2 linked regions of the Mus musculus genome follow. Each later gene encodes a partner of the first gene's protein in a complex. Links are inferred from orthologs where the notes say so. Each region holds a gene or a part of one and is shown on either strand. Other genes may lie near its edges. The genes, in order: Itga2b and Itgb3.

What was found.
Region 2: the proteins of Itga2b (region 1) and Itgb3 are in contact, whole or in part, in a cryo-EM structure (PDB 8GCE), measured with the Homo sapiens proteins. The link is inferred for Mus musculus from reciprocal best matches to the Homo sapiens genes ITGA2B and ITGB3. Residues at the interface, in NP_000410.2 of Homo sapiens: Gln49, Phe52, Arg72, Trp141, His143, Asn145, Glu152, Ala153, Glu154, Lys155, Pro157, Arg184, Phe191, Tyr197, Glu199, Phe202, Pro217, Tyr221, Phe222, Phe262, Asp263, Tyr265, Tyr268, Thr290, Trp293, Thr294, Gln315, Met316, Ala317, Tyr319; in NP_000203.2 of Homo sapiens: Ser188, Pro189, Tyr190, Tyr192, Ile193, Ser194, Pro195, Pro196, Tyr204, Asp205, Met206, Arg242, Asp243, Pro245, Lys279, His281, Ile282, Ala283, Leu284, Asp285, Arg287, Leu288, Ala289, Gly290, Val292, Gln293, Pro294, Asn295, Asp314, Tyr315.

The regions. Positions count from the first base shown.
Region 1 is NC_000077.6:102,466,783-102,471,127, forward strand, and holds the start of Itga2b (integrin alpha-IIb precursor), read right to left. Parts: upstream 3,102-4,345; 5' UTR 2,931-3,101; coding exon 2,743-2,930; intron 1,120-2,742; coding exon 998-1,119; intron 909-997; coding exon 811-908; intron 708-810; coding exon 545-707; intron 322-544; coding exon 272-321; intron 1-271. UniProt on the Homo sapiens protein: Integrin alpha-IIb/beta-3 is a receptor for fibronectin, fibrinogen, plasminogen, prothrombin, thrombospondin and vitronectin. It recognizes the sequence R-G-D in a wide array of ligands.
Region 2 is NC_000077.6:104,638,895-104,642,700, reverse strand, and holds part of Itgb3 (integrin beta-3 precursor), read right to left. Parts: intron 2,410-3,806; coding exon 2,314-2,409; intron 1,701-2,313; coding exon 1,611-1,700; intron 518-1,610; coding exon 383-517; intron 1-382. UniProt on the Homo sapiens protein: Integrin alpha-V/beta-3 (ITGAV:ITGB3) is a receptor for cytotactin, fibronectin, laminin, matrix metalloproteinase-2, osteopontin, osteomodulin, prothrombin, thrombospondin, vitronectin and von Willebrand factor.

The sequences.
Region 1 (4,345 bases):
GCTAAATGTTAATATATTTTTATCTCATTTTTATGGCAGGGTCTTATTACCTAGCCCAGGTAGACCTCGAACTCGAGCACCCCTTTCTCGGCCTCCAATTGCTGGAATTATAGGCGTGGACCACCGAAGCCATCCCCTTCTCCTTTTAAGAGCAGTCTTACTTTGAAGCCCAGGCTTGCCTTGTATGTAGCCCAGGCTGACCTCAAACTCGCCCTCCCCCTGTCTCAACCATCAAGCTGAGCTCTCTTGTTTGCTTTTGCCTGTGACTTGCCTGGGTCACCGCCAAGCTGAAGCCTGCTTCACAGTATCGCTTGTCTCCGCCTACAAGAGGCAAGCGGGGATCAGCCAAGGGGAGGTCCCCCGAATGTGCGCTTAAGCCAAGAGCCCCGCGTGGGCAGGGGGAACTATGCAGAGCCCGGAGGACATGGAGGCGGGGCCCAGGGGCGTGGTGTAGCGGAGGGGCGGGCCCCCGGGGCCCGAGGTCCTTGGTGGGGCGGGGTTGGCAGCGATCAGTGGGCGGAGCGAATGGCAAACCAGAGCTTACGAAAACTCTCTGCGTAAACGGAGCTCATGGTGTTGGCGCGACAGGGCGAGTACTCTGCGCGGCCCCCGCTTTGGAGCTGAGCCAAGAAGCAGCCTCCTACCGGAGTCTTCTCTGCCTCATCGCGCTTTTCCAGGACATTCCAGTGCTGCCAGGGGGCACAGGCCTAGAGCAGACCCACAGGAGAGTAGGGAAGGGGGCTTATTCGGGCTTCCCCCAACGTGTCCCTACCCTGGATTTGCTCCCTTTGACTTGTCCACAGTACCCACCACAATGACGTCATTCCAGCTGACGACCGACGCCCCAAGTCCTTGCCCGGTCTTGAAGGTTTGGAAAATTTGGAAGCCTAGGTTTCGTGTCTCATCCCCTGGAGGGCACAAGTAAAGGTGGAGCTCTGGAGCCCGGCCATCCATTTCCACCTGGGGACCCCCTTTCCCCTTCATTCTTGAGACTCACTGAGGTCGAAGAGCAACGGGTTGCACTTGCCACCATTGGCCTTCCAGGGGCACAGGAATACGGCTCCAGTCTCCTCTTGACTTGCGTTTAGGGCCCTGGGGGCGCCCACCACGATGGACACGCTGTGTAGGAAAGCTGGATGAGCACAGGTTATGGCCTTTCTATCCTGCCCGGTGCCCACTGCCCCAGCAGTACCTGGAAGGAGGCGTGGCATAGGAAAAACTGGACCACCTTTCCTCACAGATAGTCCTTTGAGGACAACCTCTTCATTTTAGCTGAAAGTGGATTCTTAGGAAATTAACCTGAGACTAAACCAGTTGGTTTGGTTTGGATGGGAAGGCTTTAATAATCCTTACTGAAAAGACCTGTTATGCTTCCTTTGTACACCGATTTCCCTCACCCTCACTCCCTCCCAACAAGAACCAGACAAAATGTCTGCCTGTCAAACTTCTAGAGAGATCCCTTAGCTAGACCTGGTTGAAAGGGGGAAGGCCGGGGAGAGCTCACTGGGATGTACGGTACTGACAGGGTTGAGGAGCCTAGCAGATCTCTGTTTAAATCAGGCCTGCCATATGTAAAATGGAGGTAATGACAACCAATGTTGCTGTTGGAAGAGTAAATGCAATAATTGTATGAGAGGTATTTAGTATGATCCGGCAACATGCTTTTGTAAACGTGTGCGTTAATAAACACACAGGATGCTTATTAAATCGTGCCCATGTGACCAGACCTTGGGGAATGAAGCAGGAGACCGGAAGAAAAGAAAGGAGTTGAACAGAGGCACTCAGGAGCTCTGATGCCAGGAGGGTTTCGTTTGGTTGGTTTTGTCTATTTGTTTTGAGATAGGCTCTCTCTATGTAGCTCTGGCTGTCCCGGAGGAAACTCACTATTTGGATTAGCAGGCTGGCTCTGCCTAACTCTGCTTTCCAGTAAAGGAGATTGGTTAAAGGTGTCTGTCATGACACCCATCAGGAATTCTATGTATTTATTCTGATGGAGTCTTGTTATGTGGCCCTGGCTATTTAACTTGTGGTAGTTCTCCTGCCTCAGCTTCCAAGTCCTGGGTTTGCAAGCACATGTTACCACACTCAGCTAGAGAAGTGCCCTTTAGAATCATTAGAATTGAGGCAACCCTGGGTTCTTCCCCATCACGAATAGTCTCTGCGTGCAAGCCATCTTGGGAAGGGGACCTGATTTTTGATGAAGTGGCTCTCTCAGGCAGAAGAAATAATTTCTTGCAGCTGTCTTTGAGAATAATTACTATTCCCCAGTCCTGGGCAATCCAGTGTCCATCTCAATAAGTCACTCAGGATAAACACAGCTATGTAGATGAGCCAGGAGTCTGACCTCAAAGCCTGATCCATACTGACTGTTAGTAATCTAATACTTCTTTTCAAACATCTGTAATTTGGAAGGAGGTGAGGCATGGAACGGAGGAAAGCAAGGTGTACCAGGTAGGTACTTGTAGCTTTGCCAGTCAGTTTAGGGTGAGGGGAGGGAGGTAAAGCCGGTCACATCACTGACACTTGGGGAAAAGGAAAAAGGAAGACATCAGCTTTAAACTTTTGTGCTCATCTCCCCATTGCTATCTCTCCCCAGTACCCACCCTGGAAACGGTCCTCCATTGACAGGAGCTCCACTCAGACCGGAGAACTGACCTTGCTCATCTAGGTACTGAGAGAGTCCACAGGAGCAATTCGAGGGTGCAGACCTCTCTTAACGCCCATATGTCCTTTAGCGCTCACCTTCCATGTTTGTCCTTATGAAAGTCCACTGAGAAGCCAAAGTGGCTGCCATTGGGACCTGCATAGACGGAGAACTTCTCAGAGTCCAGGTTCAAGGCCCAGACTGGAGGAACAGCACTAGGACCCAAGAACAGTGGTGTCCACTGCAGAAGCCACAGGGAATGCCATGCGCAGGAGGCTCTGGCCATCTTCCTTCTTCCCAAACGTCCTAAACAGGAATGGGCCAGCTCTTTCCCTTTCCCTGAAGTTCCCACCACCGGAAGTTTCAGCTTATCAGACTGGAGCTCATGGCTGAGCAGCAGGCATGGCAGAGGGCAATAGCCTCTAGACGTCGACTAGGACGGGGGAGGGCCCACCCCGGGGATGGATGCTGATGGCTGGAAGTCACTGCTTCCCCTTCCTCTCCAGGAAAGCTCACCTCCATGTCCTGTTGTCTCTGTTTCTCAGCCACAAGCCCGGCAATCCCCTTTCTCTTTCTCTTCCTCTGTCACTGTGAAAGTCCAGCCACCATCCCTTTCTGCCTGGGAAAGTATAACCATGAATTCGCTGCCTGGCTCACTTTGCCATGGCCCACAGTTGTACAGCTCTTACCTCCCCCATGCAGCTGACCATCCTGCTCTTGAATGCTGTGATGTGGCCAAGGGGAGAGGAAGGAGTAAGCAAGCTGTTCTCCCCTGATAAGACCAGAGGCTGTCATCATTTTGAGTAGGACATTTACCCACTTCCTCCCCCATGAGCCTTTGGGCAGCCTCAGCCGGTTGCATTTGACCATCACTTTCCTCACGTCTCCATCTTGAACCAAGTCTTAGTGTGGTTACACTGGAGCCTTCAATACTGGGCAGAGGGGTGATGAATGGGTCTTGGCCTAAGTGGGGGGAGATGGAGCTAAAAGGACATCATTCTGAGGTGCGGCGTTCACAGTCCTCGAGGTTGAGCACCAGCTGTTCAAGTGAACAGCTTTGCTCCTTTTTGGTTGACAGTATCTACATAAATAAAATAGATTGAAAGATAGCTAGAATAGAACCTTCCAGAACTGTTTGTGGACGGAGTCACTGACTAGGAGAAACCTCGTGAGTCCTCAGGATGGCACCATGGCATACACACACATGGGCATGGTACCTGATGGCACTTTTTACTGGGTTGAGTACCCGAGTCCTTTGAGAGCAAGGGTTCTTTCTGCTGTCCTAGGGCCTAGCCCACAGCCCAGCATGTAGTGCTGCTGAAAGGCTGAATCTGAAGTCTTCCTAAAGGATGGAAGGAGTAAACAAAGTGAGGAGGGTCAGATTCTGCGTAGAAATATTCTTCTCGGGCTGGAGAGATGATGGCTCAGTGGTTAAGGGCACTGACTATTCTTCCGAAGGTCCTGAGTTCAAATCCCAGCAACCACATGGTGGCTCACAACCATCCATAATGAGATCTGACACCCTCTTCTGGTGTGTATGAAGACAGCTACAGTGTATTTACATATAATAAATAAATAAGTCTTTAAAAAAAAAGATCCTTCTCTATGGGGGTAGGGGGCAGAGAGCAGAAGAGCACCACGCATGCCCTGATGGTCTTGCTTGCCTTTTGCCCCAAGGCAAAGGGTCGTAGGACTATAGCC
Region 2 (3,806 bases), about 2.2 Mb from region 1:
TTCCACTTGCTGATGGATTTTCATCAGCCAGAATAAAACCTGGTACAGCCAGTGCTCAGCAAGAGTCCACAGATGCTATACTGCCCCCATTTTATGTGGCAGAGAAAAGAAAAGCATTACCCTGGGTGATGAGATAGGTTAAGAGATATTTTCACTTTCAATCAGACGTGCAAACACAGAAAACCAAAATAGACATTTTAAGAAAAAATAAATAATAGGTTTCCTTGGCAGCTCTAGAAACCTTAAGCATCCGAAGCTTCACGGGCAAAGATTGACAACCCTACTACCCTAACACCTAATTCTGGAAAGGGTCAGGATGCACACAGATCTCGGGGCCCATGGTCAGAGTCTCAGCATCAGTCCCTCCCCTAGCCCACCTCACCGTGTCTCCAATCTTGAGGCCCACACAAGACTTGAGGCCCGGGATAACCTCGTTGTTGAGGCAGGTGGCATTGAAGGACAGTGACAGTTCTTCCGGCAGGTCACGTACTTCCAGCTCCACTTTAGAGCGGATTTTCTGAGCAGAAGAGGGTAAAGGAAGGTTAGGGCACTGACAAAAGCCAAGTCCATCCACACAAAGCCAAGCCAGTGGCCTTGGACTTGCCCTGAGGTTTACCTGGCAGTTGCTGCCATGGAGGCTCTATGCTCGGTCACCTCTTTTGTATGTGGCTGAGACCTGGCTTTCCCTCACTCTGCCCTACAGCTGCATTCTTGGGCATCGAATCCCCATTTGCAGCCTCCTCCTCCTCTAAGCTCCCCACATGCCGTTCCTGTTCCTCCCTGGCCTTCCTTTCTGGCCCATTTCTGAAGGTGCCATTCATTACTCCCAAGGCTGGCCACCATCTACCTCTGGGAGCATAAAGGAAACGCAGTAAGACCATACAGGAGAATGGCAGATGGCTCCCAAATCCGAGCTCTGTTAGAACATGGGCCTGCACCTTTAGGAGTGACCCCACAGCCTGAGTCCCTGCAGCTGTCTTTGGGACAGAGAGTTCCAAGACAATTTGTGCTCTGACTTGACTGTTCTCAATGTATATAGTACCTCCTGGCTTCTCTGTGTGTGATGTTCAACCAAACCATATGATTGGAAACTTCCCGCCACTCCTAAAGCGTATACAGAGCTGGAGCCTCCCTTTGTTCTAGGGATTGGTCTTAGACTCAGCAAGAAGATTGGGTTTGGAGATAAAGGTTGCTCATTGGAGAGGCTCCTTGGGCCTCCCCTCCCACTGCTATCATGGAAGTTTGTCCTGTATCTCTGTCTTCCTCTCTCTCTCTCTTTCTCTCTCTCTCTCCTTTCTCTCTCTCTCTCTCCTTCTCTGAACCTCTCACTCTCTTAATGAAGCTCCTCTTCAGGCTCTACAGGGAAGCCTCTTGTCACCTTTAAGGTCCTATTATGTTCAGTCCCCCTATTATATTGTTTGTATCTAATATTCTCCCACCCACAGGTCCAAGCACGGCTTTTTGATATAATTTCCTTCCTGAAGGAAATTTATGTGTCTGTTTTCTGCCGTAGACCACAACATCCCTCTTGTACTTCTTTTTTTAAAAAGCGCTGATGAGTAAGCTTCGTCCAGCAGACGCACCAGGGCCTCCTGGGCCAGCATTCTTACCCCGTAAGCATCAACAATGAGCTGGAGGACGTTGCTTGAGTCATCAGACAGGACTCCCACTGTGGTCCCAGGAATGAGCTCACTATAATTCTAGAAAGGAAGACAAAGATGTCCACAGCGTCCTGAAGAAAGTGGTCTCCTCCTCAGGTCCTCCTTCGTCAGACTGGCAGCGGTTGTTTGTTTGTTTCTTTCTTTCTTTGTTTTTGGGAGACAAGGTTGCACTGTGCAACCCTGGCTGTCCTGGAACTTGCTCTGTAGACCAGGAAGCCTCAAACTCAAGAGATCTGCCTGCCTCTGCCTCTGCCTCTGCCTCCCAAGTGCTGGGATTAATGACATGCACCACTACCGCCCAACTGGCAGTCTTAAAATTAAGTTTGGAGGGCACTGTGAAGTATCTTACTTGTTACTACCAAAACAGATCTAGCATATTTTCATATCTAAGAAACATTATTTAAAAAACAAAAACCTTTTTCTACCCCTCCCCCCACTGAGTCACCTCCGCCGCCATTGCAAACCACCACAGGTTTCCTTATAGGTGAGAGGTTGAAGGGAAAAGGCTACAGGGAGGAATGTAAGCAGCCTGGAGAATGAGTTTAAAAGGATTTTTTTCCTGGTTGGGTCCCTGGCTAGTGAAAGCAGGAGCTGGCCACCGGGGTCAGGTCCCACCTATGGTGACAAGAGAGAAGCCCAGAGCCCTAATTACCTGGTAAAGGCTGACGACATTTTCAGTCACTGCAAAGATCAAGTTAATGTTTTTCTGGGATAGTTTCTCAGTCATCAGCCCCAGAGATGGGTAGTCCTGAAAACGGGGAAAAGGTGAAGGTTAATAGACACGTCTCACAGGCATCCCTGGATTCTACGCCTTTGAGGCTGTCTTATTTGGGGTATGACCAAAGCAATGTGAAACTTTGATTTTACCCACTAATCAAAGTGAGTGTTATGGTTTGGGTGTGGCTTCAGCAAACCCCTCAGGTTTCGTGAGCTGAAACTGATTTCCCCCTGTGAGATGCTGAGACAGTGGACACACACACACACACACACACACACACACACACCGCTAAGGTATTTAGGGTAAAGTCTTTGGGAAGTAAGGAGAATTAGAAGGCCCCAGAGTTGAATCTCACTAGCTTAACAAAAGAAAACCAATGAAGACAGAAACCCACACGCATGCTCCCTGTCCTCCGGACTCACGCATGCTCCCTGACCTCCTGCCTCAGGACCGCCTGAGTCTTGGGACTCAGCCAGCCGTGATCATCACCAGATGCTGTCCCTCAAATTCACAAGTTCTAAAAACAAAACGAAAGCTCTTTTCCAACTTACTGTGTCTGTGCTATTGTATCATTAGCAACAGAAAATGGCGCAGTGCCTGAGTGAAAGGGTAAAAAGTCCCAGAAGCTCGGCTATGAACCCTGGGCTGGTGGCTCCAAAACCAAGCACCTTCCTTCCCGCTCAGGCTCAAAACATCTCCATGGGCTGGGCCCCACTGTTGTGGAATTACGGGCAAATGCCCTAACCTCGCTCTACTGGTCACCTGCCACATGATCTCAGCCTCACTGTCCAAATGTCACTCACCCCTACGCCTGCCTCTTCTCCTCAGCACTGACCTGGCTCATTTCTCCTGTTACCTGTCATCTTGGTAATCCTCCTCCTTCCTTAGCCTAAGCTCACCTCCTCCAGGAAGCCCTCCTTGACCACCCCAGCTTCTAAGAGCTTTCCTCCTTCAACTGCCAATAGCCCTTGACTGTGTCACCCACCCAATTAGTGTACATCATGAGTTCCATGCTATTAATACTGTGTAGGGATAAATCCTCTCTCTTCATCTAAACCTCCTAAGAGTAGGTAGGTCCTTATAGCTGTTTCATCTCTCACAGCTCCAGCTCAGTGCTCTGGGTAGACTAGTGTCAAAGTTTGCTGACTTACCCATTGTCTGACATTGCTCAGCTTGGATGTGGTTAATACCAAGGAAGTGGAGAGACCAGGAAACAGTACGAGTCATGACTATGTCCGTGGAAACCTAGACCTTGTGAGGGAGCTCATGAGATCTCCAGTCAAGTGTCCTGCCTTTGATCATTTACAGGTGGTTCCTCTATTTATTGACTTTAAAAAACAGAGTAGGCTGGAGTGGCTTGGTAGTTAGGTAATATCTAACATACTGTAAGATACTGGGTTCAGCCTCCAGACCAGAAAAAAAAATAA